2 linked regions of the Oryzias latipes genome follow. The protein of the gene in region 2 interacts with the protein of the main gene of each other region in a pairwise test. Links are inferred from orthologs where the notes say so. Each region holds a gene or a part of one and is shown on either strand. Other genes may lie near its edges.

Region 1 (3,823 bases), on a different chromosome or scaffold from region 2:
CAAAGGGTTGGCGGTTCGATCCCCAATCCTCCCAGCCAACTGTCGTTGTGTCCTTGGGCAAGACCCTTCACCCTCACCCATGTATATGAGTGTCCAGGTGATGGTCAGAGCGAACTGGCAGCCACACCTCTGTCAGTGATGGTATGGTGATGGTAGCTACTGATGTAGCCACAGCTGCCCTGGGGCAGACTGCTACTGCATCAGTAGCTACCATCACCAAGTATGAATGAATAATGGACACATTGGAAACGCTTTGAGCGTCTGGAAAAGTGCAGATAAATCTTATCCATAATTATTATATATAAAGAAAATTCAGCATAAAATTGCACTAAAAAGGACATCGATTAATGTGCTGGTCCTCAGGAGGATAAGAAAGTTTTCATCATCTGCACAAGTCAGACTAACCTGTTTTTAGAAGATTGTGTGAAATTGTAGACATCAAAGATTGTCTCTATTCTTGTTATCCAATTACCCAAAGATCCTTGCATAATTCCTCTTGAAAAAAGGGTAAAAGTTCTTAAATACCAACTTTTCAAACATTTTAACCATGGTGTTAGGGTTTTTTCCTGCGTGAGGATCTGCTCTAAAAGGAAACCTTATCATCTTCTTTTAAGCAAAAATTCACAAGTTTAAGTGATGAAGAAGCCTCAACACTAAAATGATTCAAACTACAGACTGGTCATTAGCATGAACAGGAGTGTTTGTGAGTGAAAAATGCCACTTGTGAATGTATATTTGTGAGCAAACTCAAACTTCTTGAGTTTCAAAGCAGAGTTCTGAGAGACAGCAGAGTAATAAATCAATACGAGCAGATGAACTCGGGTTTCTATCACAAAACGAGCTCCTGATGAATGATACCAGCTGTAAAGACGACCCATCTGGTTTGTTTACTAGTGAGCTGTTTTTCATTGACACCACTGTGTAACAGATTACGGTAAACAACTGTCATTTAAAGACAAATAGAGCGTGTTACAGTAGATTTGACTTTTGACTTTAATTTGTTGACACTCTGTCATAAAGAGAACTTTTGAACAGTGGGAACGCAAATGCCCTGAGTGTAAATAAATGGCTGTTTATTCTAACCTTTGCACATATAAGTACTGCAGTATTTATATCCTCACCCATCTTCTTGGGAAGCAAGTAAACATCCTGTTTGTATCGTCCCTCGGGAGCGTTGTACAGCTCTATCAGAGCCAGAGCCTGTGAACAGAGCACGTGATAAAAGATGAATTCAGTCGTGGGAATCCACAACATCCAGACTTTTGGAAAGGAGCTAATCTGCTCTGATCACTACATGACTGCAGCAAATAAAAAAAATGTAAAATAACATCGTATTCCTTCATCTTGTGTAGGGAAGGGGAATAAATACAGTTTTTATTTTACCTGAGTGGTGGCTGTAATGGACAAAACAAAAGTAGGAACAGTGGAGCAGCTGAGGTTCAGGAGGCGGCCCTATGAAAGCAAGAAGGACATGATGATGTTTAGTCATTATGGGATGCTCTGACTCTTCATTTTGAATGGAGACCCAATAGGAACATCATCAGAGACACCATGAGGCTGTCGAGCTTCAGTCACAACAGCCCCGGGTGGAAAATAGACAAACCTGGACAAGACATGCAGACGACCTTCATAAAATCTCAAGGTCATAGAGCGCTCAGTGAACTCGTAGAGTGAAAATGTTTTTTTATTTAGTCTACGGAGATGCTGTGAAGTCATAGTGAAAACTTTAACACATCACAACAGTGCAGGAGGTGAGAGAAAGGAGGATGGTAGCCAAGCACCCGTCGTGCTATCTGCACCTGTTATCTCTGTCAGATTGTGGAAATATGTGATACAGTATTAACCCCCATGTTCGCTGGGTGAGGGACCAGAGACACCCCTGAATTCCAGAACCACCCCCCAACTCTGCGACGGACGAATGTCCTTTACCAATTCTTACTGATCTAAAACCCTTTAGAAAAATTTGTGATGCTTTGTAAAAGATCTATTAAAGAACATTGGAATATTGCTCAACATGAAGAGTTTTATTTTTTAAGTCAGACCAATAGACTGTACTGTAGTGTACTCTTTAACACACAATAGGAGTGTCTCTCTGTGCCTAAAAACCAGGAGATCGTGCTTCCTCCTTTGTTTAGAAGGTGCTCCCTTCATTCATATTAAAAACCTTCTCCGGATGATAATTATTCTCCACGATTATCTTCCTCAGCGTTTCAGGATGTTTTTTTTCCGTCTGTTTCTGAGTCAGCTGATGCCATTTCTCCATGCAGGGGCACAAACTTTGGTTTTAGCCATTCAGGAACCTTATCTTAAGGAACTTATCTTTTCCTAAACGTCACCTAATAATAATAATAAATGTTATTTGTATATCGCTTTAAATAGCACACAGACACTTTACAAAATGAGTAAAAAACATTAAATAATAATAATAATTAAGGGTAAGTATGGATGAAGTAGGTGAGACAGGCGTGTTTTTTTCATTTTTTAAACCCGCTAAAATCTGGCGGACTGCGCAGGGAGGCCATTAGCGCTTTTCAAGTGCCCGCCTTGGCGTGCAGCCTGACTGTTAGAAATGAGGGAATTAGACCATCAGAGTGTAGTTTGAGACGTGAGAGCAGCATTTGCCAATAAGGGGCCGGTATGCGCACCTTACAAGGTGTGGCGTAAGGTCACCGTACGACAGCATCGCCTCTACATCCTAAGTACGTTTCACCTAAATTATCCTTACAAATACTTCACAACACACTTACCACACGTCTGACAATGGTACGCTCCATCTTCATGACATTCCTTGAGGTGGCCGTTCAAGCCTCAAGGGAACTGCAAGAAACGCCTAAACTCCCCTTAAGATGCGGCCGCTCCTCTCTACGCCCCGAACAACCCAAAAACCCGCAGCCTCCGTGACGAAGGCTTTATTTAAACATGCTTCAGGAACTGTTGGCGTGTTTGAGAATAGTACTTCTGTTCACTCGCTAGATCTACCTTTTTATAGAGGAAATGTTTCAAAATGTTTTCTTTTTTTTTGTGTCTCTGTAGAATAATACACCAGAAGCCCCTCACCTCGGCCAGGAGAATCACTCTTTTGCCGTCAGGCCAGATGACATGATCCACCTGGGAGCGGACTCTCTCCCAGGTCAGCTCGGGTGTCCGAAGACTTGCCTGAAAGAGTCCAGGACGGCTGTCACTCACTAAACCACAGACAGTGACTTTGGCCATGACAATCTCAAATCTAGGCGTGCTGGTTTACCACGTCGATCTCCGTGTTGGAGTGTCCCATGTTGCAGACGATAGACCCGTTCTTCATGCGGTCCAGCTGATCCCTGGTTACCACGTTTTTGTTCCCTGCAGAAACACGCCATCACGTCAGTCATGCTAATCGCCACCGGAGAGCAGACAGAGACCCACGACAGATTAATGGGTTCACTACACTAATTCCATGTCAGTGTAATCCATCACTCATGTCGATTTCAGTGAAGTTCCAATACCAGTGCACGTTATGATGATGTCGACCTGCCGAATGACCTCGTTCAGTTTGACCACCCTGAATCCATCCATGCTGTGGAACACAAAACAAGGCAGAGGTCAGCCAACAGTCAGGCCTGTCTGACATGAAAATGGATTCAGCTAAAGGTTTTGGCATCAGTAATCCAGCAGACTGTTAGATATTCTGTCTGCTCACGCCACGCTGGCAGAAGTGGTTCTTTCTCCTACCAAGCCTGCAGGGCGCAGATGGGATCGATTTCTGTCACGTAGACTATGGCTCCCAAAGCTTTCAGAGCAGCACAGCAGCCTTTTCCAACCTGCAACACCACAAAAAAAGAGACAC
Region 2 (3,823 bases):
CCCAGCAACCCCAGAGCACACTTCCTGGATGCTGTGCACCCGATTGTTATTTATTCAATCAACCACAGCATACTAAAGCACTGCACTGAGCTCAGCTCAGTGCAAAGCATTGTCTGTGCCACTCTGCCTTCATTACCGAGCGTTAACTTTGGACCTCATCTTCTGTTTCCTGACCCTGTATATGACTGTTTGTTTGCCGCCTGCCCCGACTCTCGCCTGGATCCTGACTACTCGTCTCTCCTCCTATAATTTCATGCCTGTTATTGACCCCTACGTGCCCGACCCTGATTTAGATTTATGAACTTTTAGCTGAGCTAATAAACCTGCTGCAGTTGGAACCAGCCATCTTCCTGTTCTTGTGACGGATAGGGACTTAAAACCATCCTCCCAGGGACAAAAATATCTCCCCCAGCTCAAATCTATTGCAATTCCAAATTCATTGATTGTAGAGATTACCCACAGCATGTGGACAGGGTGTCGCTCGACCCAAGGATCCAACTCACAGAGGGCTTAACCCCCATCCCCACATCAGCTGCTGGGGCCCTCAAACAAGGGATGTGGGCAGGCAAAAGATCATAGGTGACTGACCTCCTTGTACTGTGCTACAGGATTTTTTGGCAAGTTGCAGTTTTTAATGACACCTGTTGTTTGTAAGCAGGGGTGTCCAACTTTTCCTGCATGTCAAATGTGCAATTAAAAACAGAGGCGGGGTGGAGATTCATGCCACAACACCAGGGGAAAGTGCCAAAGCCAAGTATCTCAATGCCCAAAGTATGTGCTGTGCTCTAAAGCATCTGTCCAGGAGGGCTCCATCCACTCCACAGACAGACCCAAAGTCATAACTCCCATGGCACCCACCTCCCTAAACTCATGGCTTGAATCTGTAGCCATTCTCAAGGACTTGGAGAGGGGTACAGGACAACATAGCACCTGTCAACTCTAACCTATACGCAGAAACCAATTTAAGTGTCAACAGAGAAGACTTAACTGCATAACTGCAGGAAGTTCAGATAGAGTTAAACCAAAAACCTTAAATATCTGAAGATCAGTTAGGTGGTAATCTGCAGCATCCTTTTAACTTCTAGATAAAATCTACAGGTATTAGAACAAGACCTCCTGCCCTGATCCAGTCTATGGAACATTTCACTAAACTGACTAGCTGTTCCAATGAAATCCTCAGATATTCTGGGAGGACATTACCTTCCACACTGACAGAAAAACACACACACACAGAAACACACAAGTGACACTTTTGTTCAGGTGACTCACAGAGCTGAGAGGCCCCAGTGGGATCCTGCACGGTCCCCCGCCGTGGTAAAGACAGACAGGCCAATGAGGGAAACTGTGGGCGTGATGGTGAGTGGACCAATGTACTTCAGCAGCAGACCGGGTAACCCGCACAGACCTATGATAACCTCTACCAGACTGGACATGATGATGGCACCTTGAATCTGCAGGAAACATCAAACAACGATTCATTGGTTCATGTGAACTGGATCAGAACCCAGCAGACTTGGACTGGGCGTATGACTTAATTCCAGGTCAAAGTCTGTAGCCTTCTTAGGCAGAACAAAAAGTTTAAGAACAAAGATCCAGCCCAGAGACTTTGCAGCTCCAGTGCCCCCTTACACCAACGTGATGAATAAAGAAAGAAGTTGGTTAGCCTGAATGATAGAATAGGAAATTGTGGATTCACATTTTATGTTGAGTCAAACTTTTCCTTTTTCTTTTCCTTTCAGGGGTCGCCACAGTGAATCGCTTCCTCCATCTAACCCTGTCTTCTGCATCCTCTACTCTAACACCAGCTACCTTCAGGTCTTCCTTCACTGCATCCATAAACCTCCTCTTTGGTCTTCCTCTAGATCTCTTGCCTGGCAGCTCTAGACTCAGGATCCTTCTACAATAGGTTCATTGTCTCTCCTCTGGACATGTCTGAACCTTCTCAGTGTATGACTCCCCTCCAAAACCTCTAACATTTGCTGTCCCTCTGATGTCCTTATTCCAGATCCTATCCACCCTGGTCACTCCCAAAGAGAACTTCAGCATCTCCATCTCTGCTCCCTCCTGCTTCCTATCTTTTCCTCTGTGCCACTCTGAACATGGCTGGGCTCACCACAGTTTTGTATACCTTTCCTTTCATTGGTATCGTCTGTCACTAGCGATGATGCGCACAGAGCAATTTTTTATTTTTTTAGTTTTAGCAACACCAACCTTTATCAGTTTAAGTGAGCTTGAAAATACAGAAGTCCAGGAGCAGAAACAGCAACACCAAAATTTTCTTTGAAGTAAAATGATGAATGTTATGGTTGATCTTTATGCTTCATCTACCTCTGACCACAGTATAAATGCCAAAGATGCCCTCATACCTCTCTCATGCGAGGCTGCCAGATGTGTGAGGTGTTGAGGGGAACACTCCAATTTCCGTAAATCTCCTCTGTGGATAAAATCAAACTTTAGAACCTTGAGGCAGTGAGTTCATGAAGAACAGGGTTTGAAACAGACAGACTCTGACCTTCGCTGGGACACTTCCAACGGTCAAGGCCAAGTATTGCCTGGGCAGGGATCAGGAAAGCAAACGCACTGGCCTGGAACAGAGGAAGTCTAACCACAAGAACACACTTGTTATCTCCTACTCTCACCACACTAAGAGAGAAGATCTTTACCTGGCCCATGTGTACCTGCTCAGACTCACCTGACTCCCACAGTTGTCTGGATCAGAGTAGTGATGCCAACAGTGGTAAAAATGGTTCCAATCAGCTGACTCACAGTGTTTTGGTCTTGACCCACACACATGGCTTCAGCAAGTAGAAACGGCACAGCAACAGTCCCACTAAAACATGTCAGGTAATGCTGTGAAAAAAAGGAGTAAGGCGCAGAATTGTAACCTACATTCCAGCTCTACTGTCTAAAAACCACTGTCTTTACATAAAAATGGGAAAATCACATTTGCATCTACTCTACCTCTTCTAACATCTTTGTCTTTTATCACAACAATTAATTACTTGATATCTTAACTGGGTTTGCTGCATCTGTGTTTTGTAATTTTTGTAATGAAGTGTTCAATTATTTTAAATTCATGTAATCAATCAATAAAATCAACTACACTGAATCTAAAGAGTTTGATTACTAGCTTTAAAGGGAGTGGGAAGAAGCAAATTCACATAATCCCACCCCTGTTATGTTTGAGTTTTTTTCCATTACACAGTTGCTATCATTTGGTTCTTAACATTGACTTGTTGGTTTTTCGTAATGATTCAAGTTGTATAATGCATTTGCCACTGTGGCATAGTATTGTTGAACCAGAAACAGGAAGTGTGGACAGTTTATTATAATGACACACATAACAATAAAGAGAAAAGGAACAAAGTATATAAATATGTTGCAGTTTTAAAAATCCATCCATCCATCCATCCATCCATCCACCCACCCACCCACCCATCCATCCATCCGTCCGTCCGTCCGTCCATCTATTCAGTCATTCATCCATCCATCCATCCATCCAGTCATCCATCCATCCATCCATCCATCCATCCATCCATCCAGTCATTCATCCATCCATCCATCCATGCCACGGGACAGCAAATATGCCCAGACTTTCCTCCCTCAACTCACACTTAAAATGATCAGTCAACTTTTTAAATGATTGAAATACCATTTTAAGTTGTTTTATTAAGAAATGATGACGATGACAAAACAAATAAAGGTGACCAATTGAAGATCAGACGTCTGTCCTCAAAGTGTCTGCTACTGAATGGTTTGATAACTGATGATCGTGTTGATCTATTCTGTCTCACAGAAACCTGACTGCAGCAGGAAGATGGTG

The links.
Region 1: the proteins of slc23a1 (region 2) and S-adenosylhomocysteine hydrolase-like protein 1 interact in binary tests that used the Homo sapiens proteins (3 or more experiments, as listed by UniProt). The two-hybrid records come from large-scale screens. The link is inferred for Oryzias latipes from reciprocal best matches to the Homo sapiens genes SLC23A1 and AHCYL1.

The regions. Positions count from the first base shown.
Region 1 is NC_019863.2:2,340,433-2,344,255, reverse strand, and holds part of S-adenosylhomocysteine hydrolase-like protein 1, read right to left. Parts: intron 3,798-3,823; coding exon 3,709-3,797; intron 3,554-3,708; coding exon 3,483-3,553; intron 3,340-3,482; coding exon 3,245-3,339; intron 3,157-3,244; coding exon 3,058-3,156; intron 1,453-3,057; coding exon 1,384-1,452; intron 1,201-1,383; coding exon 1,122-1,200; intron 1-1,121. UniProt on the Homo sapiens protein: Multifaceted cellular regulator which coordinates several essential cellular functions including regulation of epithelial HCO3(-) and fluid secretion, mRNA processing and DNA replication.
Region 2 is NC_019872.2:23,035,337-23,039,159, forward strand, and holds part of slc23a1 (solute carrier family 23 member 1), read right to left. Parts: intron 2,851-3,823; coding exon 2,693-2,850; intron 2,602-2,692; coding exon 2,513-2,601; intron 2,435-2,512; coding exon 2,367-2,434; intron 1,452-2,366; coding exon 1,270-1,451; intron 1-1,269.